Linked DNA regions of Drosophila melanogaster. The protein of the gene in region 3 purifies or fractionates together with the protein of the main gene of each other region. This does not show direct contact. Each region holds a gene or a part of one and is shown on either strand. Other genes may lie near its edges.

Evidence for each region. Proteins that work in one complex are often made in the same cells at the same time.
Region 1: the proteins of ZnT63C (region 3) and Karybeta3 purify together in Drosophila melanogaster (affinity purification with mass spectrometry, with the first as the bait; one large-scale study listed by BioGRID). This does not show direct contact.
Region 2: the proteins of ZnT63C (region 3) and CG31729 purify together in Drosophila melanogaster (affinity purification with mass spectrometry, with the first as the bait; one large-scale study listed by BioGRID). This does not show direct contact.

What each region holds. Positions count from the first base shown.
Region 1 is NT_033777.3:4,647,361-4,655,163, forward strand, and holds Karybeta3 (karyopherin beta 3), read left to right. Parts: upstream 1-1,815; 5' UTR 1,816-2,326; coding exon 2,327-2,407; intron 2,408-3,224; coding exon 3,225-3,374; intron 3,375-3,438; coding exon 3,439-4,533; intron 4,534-4,622; coding exon 4,623-5,976; intron 5,977-6,091; coding exon 6,092-6,729; 3' UTR 6,730-7,264; downstream 7,265-7,803. Other genes in the region: rpk (ripped pocket), read left to right, coding at 35-778.
Region 2 is NT_033779.5:13,288,027-13,293,035, reverse strand, and holds the start of CG31729 (uncharacterized protein), read right to left. Parts: upstream 3,040-5,009; 5' UTR 2,350-3,039; coding exon 1,745-2,349; intron 28-1,744; exon of another isoform or gene 1-27. Other genes in the region: Uvrag (UV-resistance associated gene), read right to left, coding at 3,746-3,860, 3,946-4,356, 4,409-4,731, 4,795-5,009.
Region 3 is NT_037436.4:3,301,754-3,306,724, forward strand, and holds the start of ZnT63C (zinc transporter 63C), read left to right. Parts: upstream 1-1,954; 5' UTR 1,955-2,099; exon of another isoform or gene 2,100-2,520; intron 2,521-2,848; 5' UTR 2,849-2,912; intron 2,913-4,971.

The DNA.
Region 1 (7,803 bases), on a different chromosome or scaffold from region 3:
TCCAATATGTGTCTACAGTAATGCCAATCTACAGGTACTGCTTCATGCGCCCGATGACGTCCCGCAGGTTTCCAAACAGTTTGTGCGCATTCCCATGGGCAAGGAGGTGCTGATCGCAGTGAAGCCCAACATGATCACCATGTCGTCGGGAATAGCAGAGTACCATCCAGTTCGGAGGCAGTGCTTCCTCAGCCACGAGCGGTCGCTGCGTTTTTTTAAGGTGTACACCGAATCAAATTGCCAACTGGAGTGCTTGGCCAACTTCACGCTGACCAAGTGCGGATGCGTTAAGTTCTCGATGCCCAGAAACGTGGACATGCCTGTATGCGGAGAGGACAAGATCCACTGCTACGATCGGGCAGAAAGGGAGTTGTTAGTCAGGGAATTCAAAAGAGTAAAAGCGCTGAACGCTGGCCGAGAAAATTCGCGGAGCGTGGAATCTGCCTGTAACTGCATGCCAGCATGCACATCCCTCGTCTACAACACGGAGATTTCCCAGGCCAACTTTGATTTGGAAGAAATGCTAGTGGCTGAGGGCGACACTGAGTTCCTGAAGGAGTATCCCGGCTCCCAGATGTCCCGCTTGTCCATTTACTTCAAGCAGAGTCAGTTCATCACTTCAAAGCGGTCGGAGCTTTACGGAATGACCGAGTTTCTGGCGAATTGCGGTGGCATTTTCGGTCTATTCATGGGGTTCTCCATCTTGAGTCTTGTGGAAATGATCTACCACTTCACGTTGCGGCTCTTTACCAATCTGAAGCGCCTGGTTAAAGGATAACCCATTAGCACTATTTCGTAAGTGCGAACAATTCTTATGGTTCCAAAAATTGTGGTTTGAACTAGTTATATACATATTTATACTAATGCTTAGTCTAGCAGAAATTTTTCAATATATGCCATACTAGGTAATTTCAAAACATAGCTGACATAAAAACCAAGACGGAGTCAGTCTTCCCGAACATTTTCAACAGTGGCTTCGATGTCATAATGTCATTATATAACTCAGAATCGGCTGAATTTATTGATTCCAATCTGTGTCGAGTCTTCCGCAAGGACATCCTTCAGCTGAATGTCTTAAACTCTTCAAATGCGACCCAATTTTGGATATATATTTCATATATATTATTTATCAGGCCCATATGGACACCATCTTCCACGTTTATGCTATCTTGAAGGTCTATGATGCCCGTTAACTTAGCACATGAATTCAGAGTAATCGATGATTTTCATAGCTCAACCACCTTACTAATGTCTTCAATGTTTTAATCAACATAATCAACATTTAGTACACACCGACAGCGGTGTATTATCTATAGTCTATCTTATAATCTAGAGTCTGTTCAGAATTTCATTGGGGGTCCTTTACTTTCGAATAATTGCCTTGAAACGAATTGTAACAACCTTATAGTGGCCTCACAGCTGCACATTAACAGCAATGCTTCTTCCGAGGTGTTAGGGTCTTAAATGATCGCAAGAAATACATATGTAAATACAATAATTGAATAAATATTACTTATCATGTCTAGATCGCAGCCCATGTGCAGCTTCTTTTTAAGCTTTTCGGTTCAAGAAAAGCCTTGCCTTTCATCATTTTCACCAATGATTGTTATTGTATTTAGAAAACCTGCACACAAATCGGTGAATGGTGCACTCGGAATAATATGCCATTAGATTTAAATGAGTTTCAAGCCATTTCTTGTTTCTAGCTTACAATATATATATATAATTTACATAGTTATTTTAAACAAGAAACAAACCATTTAAATCTAGGCTACCTGACTTTTTCTTTTAAATACACACAATTCATTCAGTCCTACGGTCTTTGGAAATAGATTGTAATTTTTAGAAATACTTTGTGTTCTCACACTAACACAGTTCTATTTCCGTTAAAAGATCATAATCAACTGTTAAACTTTAGCTAGAGTTTTTGACGGTTCTACAAACGCGCCAGCTATCGGGCATCACTAGTGCGGGCGGCCGCTTGCGCGCCAAAAGCAGTCGCGTTTTATCGATAACGGCGGAGCAGTATTGCCTTAGCGCTTTAGCGAGATTCCAGCGTGTCCACTAAATTGCATAAAAAGTTAAATAAAAGAAAGTTGGATAGGCCGCGCAGCAGCAGCACCCACCAAAGACCAACCATCCCAAGATTCACGGCAATCACGAAAACTGACCAAGAGTGCAGTGCGCTTGTTTGCGAACCTTGGCAACCCAGCCAGTTGTTCCGTTCTGCTCTTTTTAGGCGGCCGCCGTTGCGTGAAGACTGAAGTGAAAATCGTGGTTTCCACGAGTTCCCGTGTTTCGATTCATTTGAACCAGACAGGATAAGATGGCAGCGGATCAGGCCCATTTCCAGCAGCTTCTGGCCTCCCTCTTGTCCACGGACAACGATGTTCGCCAGCAGGCGGAGGTGAGTCCCAATATTCTCGATTACGGCGTGGCAGGGGATCTTGCAGAGCGTATTGCCGTCGCCTCGAAATTTCGATGCGCAATTCCCGCAATGGGTTGCACATGAGCAAAAATATACGGCGGACTGCCATCAATAAGATCTTCTCCCGGCACATATGTATGTATACACACGAACAAACGTCGGTGTGCGAATCCTACGGCCGAAATTTCAGACGAATCTGATTCATCGTACAAAACGTGTTTTCGCCCTCCGCTTTGCCCCGACATTCGCATGTGTGCGAGGGAGAGCCGACGGACAGACGGTGCGAAGCAAGCAAACAAAGCAAAATGGAAGCGAATTGTGCAATTTGCATGGCCGCCACATGATTTTCCATTAGAATTCGTAGTAGGCAATTCGGTTTACCGATTGCCGCCGCAAACGGAAACAAAGAGCAGGTGCGAAATCCATGACACACGGTTCCAGAAATGCAATCTGTCGGTTGATAAGCCACTCGGATTCCGAAGTCTCGCTCCGGCGCCACATGGCACCGCCACGCCCACGCCACACCAGCCAGAAAACCCCACCCACTCTGTTGACCTTGGGCAGATGGCAAGCATGGTACCGCTTCCACCCAAAGTTCCACCTGGATTGCTAAAAATACCTATTCAGAATTGTGACTTTGCTTTTCACTTGAGAGATGGAAATAATCGAGATCCGTTTTAAATTGTTTCAGAGCCCAATGTTGTCAAGGTGGAATTGTATTTACATATATAAATAATATTTATATATTTTAAAATTACATCGAATGGATATGTACAAAAACCATTTTTAATTCCAGGAAGCATACAACAATCTTTCAAGAGAGCTGAAGGTGACGCATCTCCTGGGCAACATCCAAAATGGCCAGCAGTCGGAGGAGGCTCGACAGATGGCCGCCGTGTTGCTGCGCCGCCTGTTTACCACCGAGTTCTTTGATTTCTACAAAGGGGTAGGCATAAAGCCGCGCAGAGAATCGCCCTCTGAGCATCTTTCTAATATTACCTCATTTGCAGCTTCCAGCTGAATCCCAGAACCAATTGCTTCAGCAGATCCTTTTGGCCGTGCAGCAGGAGGTGACGCCGCAGCTGCGTCGCAAGATTTGCGAGGTAGTTGCCGAGGTGGCCAGGAATCTGATCGACGAGGACTGCAACAACCAGTGGCCCGACATCTTGCAGTTTCTCTTTCAATGCGCTAACTCGCCTACGCCGCAGCTGCAGGAATCGGCACTGCGGATCTTCTCTAGTGTGCCTTCCATATTTGGAAACCAGGAAGCTCAGTACATTGATCTGATCAAGCAGATGCTTGCCAAGAGCATGGACGCTGGATCCGATCCGGAGGTCCGAGTACAGGCCGTGCGAGCCGTCGGAGCCTTCATCCTCTACCACGACAAGGAGAACGAGACGGCCATCCACAAGCACTTCGCTGATATGCTGCCCCGCATGATCCACATCACTGGCGAGACCATCGAGGCCCAGGATGATCAGAGTCTGCTAAAGCTCCTGATTGAGATGACCGAGAATTGCCCGAAGTTCCTGCGTCCCCAGCTGGAGTTCATTTTTGAGGTCTGCATGAAGGTTTTCAGCTCGCAGGACTTTGAGGACAGCTGGCGTCACCTAGTGTTGGAAGTTATGGTGTCGCTCGCCGAGAACGCCCCGTCGATGATACGCAAGCGAGCGGACAAGTATATCGTGGCCCTGATCCCGCTGATTCTCCATATGATGACGGATTTGGATGATGACGAGAACTGGTCCACCGCCGACGTGGTCGATGATGACGATCACAGCGACAACAACGTGATCGCCGAGTCCTCGCTGGATCGCCTCGCCTGTGGATTGGGAGGAAAGATTGTGCTTCCGCTCGTAATGAACGCTCTGCCGGTTATGTTGGGTCATGCCGATTGGAAACATCGCTTCGCAGCCCTCATGGCCATCTCGGCCATCGGTGAGGGTTGTCACAAGCAGATGGAAGCCATCCTAGATGAGGTAATGTCCGGAGTCCTGAACTTCCTGAGCGATCCTCATCCTCGCGTTCGATACGCCGCTTGCAACGCCATTGGCCAAATGTCCACCGACTTTGCACAGACCTTCGAGAAGAAGTTCCACAGCCAGGTGAGTCTTAAATTGCAACTGCTTTATCAACTTTCTAATAAGCAATTGAAATTAATTAAATGCTTAACAATTTTCCCTTGTTTCGCCAGGTGATTCCCGGCCTCTTGTCTCTTTTGGATGACGTGGAAAATCCGCGAGTGCAAGCACACGCAGGTGCCGCTCTGGTGAACTTCAGCGAGGACTGCCCGAAAAATATATTGACACGCTACCTGGACGGGATCATGGCCAAGCTGGAGACTATTCTGAACTCGAAGTTCAAGGAGCTGGTGGAGAAGGGAAACAAGCTGGTACTGGAGCAGGTAGTGACGACAATTGCATCGGTTGCAGACACCTGCGAATCGGAATTTGTGGCCTACTACGATCGCCTAATGCCATGCCTTAAGTTCATCATCCAGAACGCCAACTCGGATGATCTCCGCATGCTTCGCGGCAAGACCATTGAATGCGTGAGCTTGATAGGATTGGCGGTGGGGCGGGAGAAGTTTATTGGTGATGCCGGAGAAGTCATGGATATGCTGCTGGTCAATCACACCGAGGGGGGGGAACTAGCTGATGATGATCCGCAGACCTCCTATCTCATCACTGCCTGGGCACGTATGTGCAAAATCCTTGGCAAGCAATTTGAGCAATATCTGCCCCTCGTTATGGGACCAGTGATGCGAACGGCCACCATGAAGCCTGAGGTGGCGATGCTGGACAACGACGAGGTGGAGGACATCGACGGTGATGTGGACTGGTCTTTCATTAATCTTGGCGAGCAGCAGAACTTCGCCATTCGCACGGCTGGCATGGACGACAAGGCTTCGGCCTGTGAGATGCTGGTTTGTTATGCTAGGGAACTAAAGGAAGGATTTGCCGAATACGCTGAGGACGTGGTGCGTCAAATGCTGCCCATGCTTAAGTTCTACTTCCACGACGGTGTCCGCACAGCTGCTGCTGAGTCGCTGCCTTACCTTCTCGACTGCGCAAAAATTAAGGGTCCACAGTATCTGGAGGGCATGTGGATGTTCATTTGTCCGGAGCTGCTCAAGGTAATCGTCACGGAACCGGAGCCAGACGTGCAGTCGGAGCTGCTGAATTCGCTGGCAAAATGCATTGAGACATTGGGTCCGAATTGCCTTAACGAGGATGCCATGAAACAAGTTCTCGAGATTATAAACAAGTATGTTCTGGAGCATTTCGAGCGTGCTGACAAGCGTTTGGCGGCTCGCAATGAGGAAGACTACGACGACGGTGTGGAGGAGGAGCTGGCCGAGCAGGACGACACAGATGTTTACATCCTTTCCAAAATCGTGGACATTACACACGCCCTTTTCCAGACCAACAAGGCTCAGTTCTTACCCGCCTTTGAACAGGTGGCTCCGCACTTTGTCAAGCTACTGGAGCCCAGCCGACCTGTAGCTGATCGGCAGTGGGGCTTATGCGTGTTCGATGATCTGATCGGTGAGTTGGTTTTCTTAATTGAGTTTTGCAGTTCAATAGTACCGCCGATACCTTCAAACATCAAATCATTTGTGCCACCATAAAACTAAAGACTTGTATTCTCATTTACCTACAGAATTTTGTGGCCCCGCTTGTGCTCCATACCAGCAGATCTTTACGCCAGCCCTCGTCCAGTACGTGTGCGATAAGGCCCCAGAAGTGCGCCAGGCGGCTGCCTACGGATGCGGGGTGCTCGGCCAATTCGCTGGTGAGCAGTTTGCGCATACATGCGCCCAGATCATTCCACTGCTGGTGCAGGTCATCAACGATCCCAAAGCCCGCGAAATCGAGAACATCAGTCCGACAGAGAATGCGATCTCGGCGTTTGCTAAGATCCTCAAGTACAACAACTCGGCGCTGAGCAACGTGGACGAGCTGATCGGTGTTTGGTTCTCATGGCTGCCGGTGTCCGAGGATTCGGAAGAAGCCGCCCACATCTATGGCTACCTATGCGACTTGATTGAAGGCAACCATCCGGTCATTCTTGGGGCAAACAACGGCAATCTGCCGCGCATTGTCTCCATCATCGCTGAATCCTTCTGCACCAAGGTGGTTGAGGCGCAGTCCGCCACCGGCACTCGTATGCTCACTATCGTCAAACAAGTGGAATCGAATCCGGAGGTAATGGCTGCTTGTGCCAGCACCTTGAGCCCGGAACAGCAGCAGGCGCTGCAGGATGCCTACCGGGAGCTGGCAAACGTGGCTCCCGCCTAAGATATCGCAATCCCAATCCTCTTCAGACCAAGTCCATTCATGTCGACCAAGCCAAGAAAGGAACGATGGATGCTTCAGCTACTCGTTATCATTATTTTTCATCTTACCGAAATTTTGAAGTATATGTTTAACACATAGATATCCATTTATACAGATATACATTTATGTGTACAATAGAGTTATCCGGGTATATAATTCTATACATATTGTGATTTTAATCAAAACTCTTCTCCCGAAGACAAAAGTCTGCCTCGTTAGAATTTGATATGTTGTATGGATGCGATCCAAATGCCATCCCAATCACACCCAAATTCCAATAGAATATTTTCGTTACTCAAATTTTCATATGTTTAATACATATGTGTGTATATACGGCCCTAACGGCCGCCTCTCCCTGCGGGGAAAACAGGATGTAAACGTTGTCCGAATCGAACGAAATATAATTTTGTGCATTCAAACCAGGATCGACAAATATATTTAAAGGAATAACATTTATTGTATTTTAAACATGATAAAAACGAAATAAATAACAAGTAAATCGATATTTTAATTGCCACGAGCTTATGTTTTAGTATTGCTTTTTATTATTAACCATTCATTCAATTTCAAATTCGATTCCCGCAAAAGACTTTTCAAAAGTCGTTGTGGCAACTCTGTCTGTGGCAGTGAACATGCAGAGGCCTCCTAAACAGCTGATCTGATTCGCAATGGAAAGTAAGCAAATCAAAACAAAGATGGAAAAACTTGGAACATTCAACTCGAATGGAAAACACACATTTTAACATGTTATTTACGAATTTAAGTGATATTAGGCAAACGATATTCTCACTTTAAAGGTGTGCGACTAAACAGGAGCAGAAAATAATTCGTAAAATTAGTGAGAAAATAGCGAAAGAGAGCGTTTCTCTGTTTGCTTTCTAAATCATTAGGTGACTTGGTGGGCAAAGTGCAGATTAAACGCTCAGAATCAGACGAAACCAAAACCCAAAGGTGAGTGAGTGCAACAGGTAGACGGTGAGTGCAGCGGAAGGGCGGATGCGGTTTCGTTGGCCACAGTTCAATTTAGAGCAGCTG
Region 2 (5,009 bases), on a different chromosome or scaffold from region 3:
TCAGTATTTGTCAATGTTTACTTTTTTCACATTCAAGTGACAAATAGATGTTCACATAAGGAAACGCTTTGTCAACATAGAAAATTTAGAAGTTTAAATAACCATATCAATCTGCAGATCTATGCTGCAATTATTTGAAGTTGGGCGGCAGAGAAACTTTCAATTTTTAACACAGAAAGCAGAGTCCGACCGAAAAAGTAAAACTAAAAACCCTAAAGCGACTCACTTCTTGTGTGCAACTCGTTTGTATTTTTTAGAAACCTTGAATACAAGATTGTGTTGTGTGGCCAAAACCAGCTGAGGAACTGGTTTTCGAATTTTTTAGCATTTCTTGGTGACTTCTTGAGTCGTTTTCGTTCATGTTTCTTATTTTCGTTCGCCCACCAATGGGGCTTAAAGTCGCACGGCAAACATCGATTAAAAATGCACAGCTAACGGGTGGTGTTGTGTGTGATATTTTTGGCCAAAGTTTTGCGGCAACAAGAGTTTGTACTCTAAAACAAAAACAAAACAAAATAATAAGAAAAACGCTCGCTTAGTGGGTGTGGAGCAAGGAAATGGCAAGGAAAGGCGGGGCATGGATGGCAATGTTTGCGTTTCGTTTATGCCTTGTCACCCAACCAAGTCGCTCGTCTTGGCCACTATTTATAGCCGTGTTTTTGTTATTATTTTCCATTCGTCGAAATCTTTTCCCCCAGTCTTGGAAGTCGTCACGTTTATCGATTTGCACAGTCCGTCGACGGCGCGCAGAAAACGAAATGTTTTTAATTTTCTTTCTACGATCCACTTACAGACGTGCTTGCTTGTTCGCATGTGCGGCCTTTCTCAAAAGTTCTCTCTAATTAGGTAAATTAAAAATATATCTTGGAATCGTTATATATATATGCTATACATATATGCTTTACATACAGTTGCATTCATTGTGTATGTCACACATGTGTGGCGCACAAATTCTCACACATTCAGCTAGAATTTATTTTCTTGGAAATGTGTTTCGTAAAAGTTCTAAGTTAAGAAGAACATCAAATTGCAAGACAACGCTGCTCATTTTGGGAAACCACACAATGATTTGGCTCATGCCAAAAAATAATAAACAAATATTTCAAGTGGCAGAAACAAAACAACAACTTGTTTGCCATAACAACTGTTGAGTTGCGAAAGTGATAGAATGTCTAGAACGTTACAGAGGTCAACGTTTTTTCTTGCCAAATATTTAATATACATTTCAATTATTTATAGAAGTTTACGATGAAAAACAGTTTTATACCTAGTGTTGTCAGCATTTTATGAGCAATGGTATTCTACGTTCAAAGTCAACTATCTACGGAAACACAGATTATAAAATTCCACAAAACTAATTTATTTCATAAGACATTTAAATTGAAGCGATAAGAGATAATATTTCTTCAAAAATATACAAATTTTCGAGGTCTTAATGTGATAGATTAAAACTTTTGCTTCCTGCTATAGTTATAATTTATTCAATACCTTGTGGTAAAAGTAAAAGGGTCTCAATCGCCATTAAACGCTTATGTGCGAAAATATAAAACATTTAACCATTTTCCCTAAAGGTAACACTTGAATTCCCAATATTTTGCTGGCCAGTGAACAGCTGTTGCGGCACTATATACTTTCGCATTACTCCCGCTGCCGCCAACTATTGCAGCAGTGAAATGGAAATATTGCGCATACGCAGCGTTGGCATTGGAGGGTAACGACTGGATCGCACCGAATGCACACTCACCTGCAGAGGCACAACTTGCAGACGTTGCCAATGCTGCGACTCTTGCTTTTACGCCGATTGTGCTGGTAGAAGACCGTGGATGAGCCATTTTCCGGATCTATGACGGTTGTGCTGTGCGTAGCGCCATTGCTGAGATCCCCCGTGGCAGCAGATCCTCCAGATGCCGCTACACTGCCATCGCCAGTGGTTACTTTAATGCCGGTGGCACTGCCACTCCCACCACCACCGCCACCGATCGATCCCGCCCCCGCGACGCCCGATGACGTGTGCGTTAATTGCGCCAGTTTCGAAATGCTGCTGTAGCTACCGTTTGAGTGTTTGGCGCGCTCGCGACTCCGCTCATTTCTATAACGTATCTGGCCGGCGGCAGAGCCAAAACTGTTGGATCCGAAAAGATTGCCCAGAAAGCTGCCTCCGCCGCCGGCGGCAGAGCTGCCAGCGCCGGCGTCGACGCCGCTGTAGCCCATGGAGCTTTTGCGTCGCCCCCTAATGTTGTTGTTGTTCTGTTTACCGCTCGGTACATCGCGGCGTATGAGCAATTCGGTCTCCGAATCCGTTTCGCTCTCTTCGTCGAAATCTCGTAGCGGTACATTGCTCTCAGCCATTTTCAAAACAAGAGAGCTTAAAAGAGAGCAAGCGTAGTCAGCTTAAAGTAATAAGTTTTGATTAAAAGAGCTGTTCGAAAGAGTTTTGGCGCCTGAATTTAACTAATTAGCACCAGAAATGCAGTTTTACTCTCACTTTCAGATGATATTATCTCAGAAAAATTAAATGCTGGGTACTCAGTTAGTCTTATTGCCACGTTTCCATTGAGCAATTTTCAGGCGTGAACGACGGCTGCTCCTTATCACACCTGGAGTTTTATTCTTTTATTTTTTATTTGAGCGGTAAACAGGTAGGGTAAACACACTATATATACGCGTAAATCACAGGCATTCCCCGTCGTCCGCTTATCAGTGGCTACAGTTGCCGGCTACCAAATCGTCACCATAAATACCAATTGCCTACTATTGCTCAGCGTTTTAATTTAATTGATACGAATTCGATAAATAAAAGGCCAAGGCCCGGGCCACACACACATATGCACATGCACTTCATTTAGCACGTTGGTTTGCAGGCTTTTCGCGTTTTCAATTATTAAATCGATTATCGCACTACGTTTGGACGTTGTTTGGGTATTTGACAACACATTTTTTATTTATTAATAGCCCGGATGTAGCCCGAAAAACATTCAAATCCCGGAAGCAAGTTGCCAGCGAAATAATTTTGGCGAAATGCTAATCAGCTGGCTTTACAGACCACTGTTAACGGAACGGAACGTTTTGCAGCACTGACCAAGCAGTGGCTGTAATATTTTGAGTTTATTAAGGATTTAAAGCAAAACTTACATTTTAAATTATAAAGCAAAAGTTAATATAAGCAGATTGTACAATATTATGTAGTAACAGTAGCACATGGTATAATTTTTATAAGTTAAAGGAGCAATTTATCTTCATACTTTGCAACACTTTTTGGCGCCTAATTCAAACTATAATTAAAACTCATAAAAATACTTTTCAAACAGAATATACAAATAAACTAATTTTGGGGCTCAGCATTATTTCAGAACATATGAAGAAAGGCTTAGGTTTTCCGCATCGTAACCACTTCGTTTATTGTGACCTTGGATATTGTTCGACTTAATCTCTATCGACGTGTTTCTAATGTTTGTCATCCATATTAAATAAATATTTGTCATGTATAAAATATTTAATCTTTATTCGTAGCTTATATTAGCAAACAAACAATAAAAGGGAATTTACACAGAGATCTTAAACAACTAAAAATAATATTATCGCAATGGACTACCGTTCACATATACTTCACCATTGACTTTTATAATTTAAAAGTATACAATACGCGGCCAATACCAAGAAACCCGCTGAGGAGGAGCCGCTAAACAATGCTATCTTGGATATTGGATATAAACGCTGGAAATATAACACTTTTGGGTGCATTAGCTCAGCTGCGCTCAGTTTGCAGAGTTATGTTGGAGTCCGAATTGGAATAGTTATGCTCCAGTCGCGGGCGAAACTCATCCTCGCCATCTGAATAGGACCCCACCGAACGGCAAATGCTGCAAGAATATTACAATATATTATTATTAAATTTTATCCGGTAGTTTTTGTTTTTGGCTCTAAATATATGTATATATAGATTACCGTTGAGTTGACGCATAGCCTTCGATTGCCAGTGCCTCACTCACACCCGGCGGCAACAGCTGCTGGAGCAGTGCATCCTTGACCGCATTGACGCCAGTCGGCAGTGGCACATGATTCATGTCGACCGAAGAGTGCGATTGCGACAGGTGCGGCGCCGTCAACCCATTTGCCAAGCGTGCTTCTCCACAGCCAGCTCCAACTGCAGTTCCATCCCGTTCGTCGACCTCATCCCTTTGCGTTCGTTCGATGTAGCGAAGAGTGCTGAATAGCTCCAGCAGATTGCCAAAAGTGTTTCGCAGATCGCACTGGCCCGTGATGTCGAAGCACAGCTGCGAAACATTCTGGCGCAAAAGGTAGATGGCATACTTTGTTTGCTGCGACGGCAAAATGGAGCGTGTATACAGAGGAAATCTAAGATGGAACAATAAGATACCAAAAGGTAATATTTAGTCTGTGTGCTTACTCTCTTGTTGTGTACGTCAACTCTTTGATATCGTCCACTATCCTTGCTTTCGATGGCTCGTACAGAATACGGTTCCTCAGAGGTCGATCCATAATGATGGCTAACATCTGCACCAAATGGGCAACATAACCCAGTGCCGCACTCACTGCCAGCGGCGAGACGTTATCCAGAAGCTGTGCGTTTGCCGCCTGACGTGACTCGCTCGTGTATTGCTCCATGTGGGGGAAGGCGATGCCGCAGATACTAAATTGCCGACCGCCCACATTCTGGATGTTATAGATCTCCTGTAGCTCCAACACCAGTGTGGACATTCGGCGCTCCACCTTAAAAGGGTGAAAAGGTTTATTAATATACTTGTTTAATGTTATTTGATTCCGCAGCCCCACCTGCCGTTCTATTTGTCTTTTTTGATCGCGCTGTTCCAGATGTTGAGGTGCCAGGGTTCGTAGCTCCAGACGTTCTTTTTCCAGTCGATGTCGCTGGCTGTGGAGCTCCCATTGCTGTGCCTCCCGCTGTTCTCTCATCTCCTTCAGAAGTTGACGGGTGCGCTCGTTTCGTTGGCGAAACGTTTCCCGCTCCGCTTTAAGTAGCCGCTGTTGAC
Region 3 (4,971 bases):
AGAAATGTATTATTAATATTTCCTCACGCAGCCCGCTGACCACTCCAATTGCCCAATGAATATAGGAGCATTATACCGGATATATGTACATATGTGTACATGTGTATATATTACAATGGCCATGCTGCAATAGTTGCATGTCTGCCAATTAATGACCGACGAGAGAAAACCGAATTAAAACCAAAACTGAAACGAATGGAAATAAATTCAGTGCAATGCATTTCACCTGTGTGACGTCATTTGCGAGCGAGAGGGGAAGCTTTCTGTGCAACAGCCAATACTTTTTTTTAGCTTTTTGTTCTACTTTGACTACCATTTTAATGCCAATGACCCAAGCGGATAACTAGTGACAATGGCCTGTGTTGTAGACACAAAACCCACGACTAATTGTGTGCTCATCTGATCTTTTGTTCTAACGCCATTTACAAGTTGCCTGATCCAGATTTTCAGGAAGATCACGTTCACAGCTATCGAATTTTGATATATTACCAAATTTGAAGCCCGCTGTTTTAGCCACATTACAACGTTTGCCACGCTAGTCCAATCTATGGCCATATAAATCTCAGCCTTACGCTCACCTTTGTACTCTCCTTATCGTTGTTTACTTTAGGGTTATTAACGAATTTTACATTTTAGAAGTTGTTCGAAAATGGCAATTTATTCTGTACGGCATACTATATACTATATGTGTTTTACATATTTTCTCCCCATACAATATGCCTACATATCATTGCCACTATCATTATGCCAACAACCATAACAATAACAATATCAGAGACAGGTTCGGTAGCACTCGCAGTCCAATTTAGATAATTTTCCACTGGACATTTCAGTTTAAGCGGTACGAAAGCCGGAAGCTGCTCATATGAGCATATCTCCTCTGTTCGTATAATAGATTTATCTTTTTTATCATAATTTGTTTACGGGCACTGCCGATGACTGTCATTTGTCGCACATATAGATTTGCGTATGTGGAGCTCGTACTAACTCCCTTCCATTCACAGTGACTAATTTACTAAATTTGGTTTCTTTTATTTACACTTTATTCACTTTATTTTCTCTTCAAGTTCCAATTGCCTGTTATCACGTAGGGAACATTTACCCATTCGCCTAATCTTATCACTCACTACTTCACGCACACGGGGAATTCAGCAAAGGTAAAATAGGTAAAAGTCTTATTGACTTTTTGACGAAAAATGGAAATAAGTCTTGAGTTAAACTAAATGCTGAAACGTGCTCAATATAATTCCGCTGATTTCTGAATTGATTATGGGGGTAGTCACTTTGGAATTACCGATTTTATGATGGCTTTGTTTCTTTGTACACCTGTTTCCTCGGCCGGTAAACGCGCTACTAACGAAATCCCCAATGATCGTGGTCAGTGATGCCGCTTTAGCCATGAATATTATCTTCAAAAAAGATTTTAAAGTTGGATGTTTCTACTAACAACTCACTTTTGCCCTGAAAATATATATATTCTTTTTTTTTGCCAAAATATTTTATTTTTTAGATAATTTCCTTATAAAGGCACGACATCACTAGTAAGTCATTTACCTTTCCCATCCAATACACAAACCAACTTTGAGCTTGAGTGCCATCGAGCTTTTTGTTGGTTAAAAGGGGTTAAACGCAGTTGTTGGTAGTTTTGCGTTAAACAAAGAGTTTAAGCTACATTATATTGAAATGTAACGCCTAAAAAAATAGATTTATTGTAAAGTAGCCCTTCACAAAAATATTTCGTATTAAAAGTGACAAAATGTATCAAAAGCCTGCCAGTTTTTTATTTCAATTACATTACTGGCTCCTATTTTGGTTTCTACTACATTTACTAGTTTTCAAACTTATTTTTGAAAGACCGCTTGTAACGGTCGATAGTCATTATTGTTAACCCGATAGAGCTGCACAAATATTATCGATATATTATTGGTATTTTCCAACTGCCCGGATGGATTTTCGATGACTGTGGCTGCAGTCACACTGAGTCGGGAAAATAATTATTTATTAAAAATTCGTGGACCCGCGCTGTACATCTGTGTCTGTGCTGTTCGCTCCGCTCCAAGTGCGGCAAAAAGCAACCAAGAAGGCAGGCAGCCCAATCGGTAATTTACGGCGGAGTAGTGAGGCGATATACGGAAATCGCGACCAGTGCACGTGCAATTGTGAATCGTTCTCGATTTTCCCGACCCGCACCCTTTCTTCTCTTTCGACCATTGTGACTGTGCACAATTAACTTGCATACATACGTGTATGTATGTACACACTCTGTTTGTATGTATGCGTGCCACCCCCAATTGAGGCGGAAAAAGGAGAAGCAAAGGAATTTCTGCAAAATCCAAGATGCCCATGCTATTTTCACTATTTTATTTTGCCAACTTTTCAGTCGACACTTTGCTCTTGCAGCAACAAAGCCAACAACGGCGAAAATTGGAAGTTATTTTCTTTTCTTTCTCCACTCTTTTTATCGCAAAACAACAGCAACACTGCCCGTGCACCGCTCTCCCCGCTCCCACTTGCGTCCTTGTTAATACAGTGAATATCGGCTAGCCACAAACAGGGGAAATACAAAGAATCTTAATTTGCATTTGTATGGTTGATAAAAAGTCAACTTATCAACTTATCTAAATCGTCAAACCAAAGTGACTTATACATTTGTAAACATTTTTAAGCGTTTTCCCTGTTTTAATTGCGAAAATAGTAAAGATATCGTGTTTTATTTTTATCAACAGTGCAGCGAAAGTTTTATAAAGTATACATATATTCAGTCAAATAATTATTAAAGTCCTATACTCTCCGTATACACTGGATTTGGTTTTTTATTAATTTTCAATTATGTGTATTTTGAATTTAGCCTCTTCAATTGGAGCTTAGGAACCTTAACAACCAAAGAACCGATTTCCAGACTTAAAGCTAAGGTAAGTTAAATACACCTATTATTCTTAGCCTCATTATCAATTTTTAATGAAACTTCAAAAAATAGATTGTAAGAGTGTTATATCTCTTTTCTTAGTTAAACATAATCTCGGAAATGATATCCATTATCTTACGTAGGGGATTTGCCTGCAGGAGACCTGCATCAGCATGTCTGTTATTGTTGCACGTGGGTCACCGAACTGGGCGGGTGTGGGCGTGGTCAGGTAGTAGCTGAGCATATCTGCATTTCAACAATCGATCTTAATCTGCGCTTGCTTTTGAGTTCCTTTCGTCTAGGACTTGTTATACTTGATTTATGGCCCCTTCCCGCGATTTCCCATCCTCGAAAACCGGTTGTTTTGACTTAATCATCGGTTCTCGCTGGTTATTTGATATGAAATTCTTTCTGACTCACAGCAGTTGTTTAAATTCTGGCGTGGAAATCCCGATCTTTTTCCTTATCAAGCCAAATAAATATGAAGGCTAATTTGCTATGTTTGAATTATTTTATTTAAATTACTTTTGAAAAACAAATAGGCAGTACAGCTATTAAATAGCAGGTTTTTATTTGTTAAAGCGTAATATCTTTCAGATTTTATAGATTCTAAATCTTCCCATATAGGTTTATTTTTCCTCATTAAGTCTTGCAAATTATGTTCGATTTTCTTTCTGTATCGGTTCTGAGATATTGTATGTTGCAGCGATTTTCACTGTTGCATAAAACTCTTGTATTCCGGGCCTAATTAAATCACTTTAAATGCCTGCTCGGTGTGGCTGAAATAATTCGATTTAAAGGTCAGGCACTCACCCAAGTGACTTTCCAACTCTTTTTGTTCTCGGCTCCCAGTCAGTCATCAGCGAAAATTGAGTGAGATCGAGGAGGAGGGGAAAATCAATATGTGCTAATATAATTTTGTGGCAAACAAATTAAAGCACACAGAACAGCTCGTCGTCGCTGCTCTGATTTGTTTAGCTATACGAATATGTACCATATTTATTCAGTTGATTTGGTTCAGTTTCAGTGGTGAATATTTGAGCAGCAGCATTTAATATTTGATACTGGCCAATTTGATTTGTGGGTAAGCACATTGACTACCGCCCAAAACTGAAATGCAGCCGAAAATGGGGCCAAAAGTGGGTTATGTTTGCTCCGACCACCATGCAAGCTGGCTTTGATTTACGACTGCAACTAAAGTAGGTTAACCTAGGTCCAGATAACTACTACATTCTGCTTCTCCAACGATACCATATTCTAATCTCAAAGTTGCCTGAGCTGCTGGCTTTCCAAGAGTAGAATCATGTACATGTGACCTTGACACGGTTTTCACTTGCTATGCAGGAAAAAGGGTTTCCCGCATCCACCGTACCGTATCCATTGAAATTTGATTTTGTTATTTGTTTATCGACGCCACTTCATGCAAATTGGAGAAATTCAGGTGGATATATTTTTAGCTGACACATCCATGCAATGTTTGCAAATGCATATATAGTATTCACCTTTCTGCCAGCCTGATGAAATTCTTTTGTATATTTTTCACTCTGTTCTCCGTTCTCGTGGAACTCAACCAGGTTGGACCACCCAACGCCCAGCTCCGTCTCTTACTTTGCCTTTCTCTGCGCCGCCCTTTTTCCAGAGCACCTCCGTCCGCCTTCCGTTCCCGGAGGTCGGGAAAAAGAACCGGGTTAATCGTCGCCACGTTGTCGCCGTGGAGAACAAATGACTCTTTTCGTTTGTGGGTCAACTGCAATTTTTGCCATTAATATAATTAATTGATTGCCATTTTGGTTTTAAATGTCGTAACTTTATGTGAGTGAAACGCACCTATTAAATGGGAATACTCACATAATAAAATTCAAAAGCGTTCACATCGCAAAATCTATAAGAATGCTAAAATTGTTTTCAGTGCTGCACTTCACACTTACGTAGCAAAAAGATTTACCCAATCTTAAAATTACTTTAATTCCTGCTTAATAAATCTTTCTACAAATTGCCGATCAATAAATCAACAGTGCGTCTAATTTGGCTTATCGAAATGCCCACTTTCGAGTACTTTGTACAAC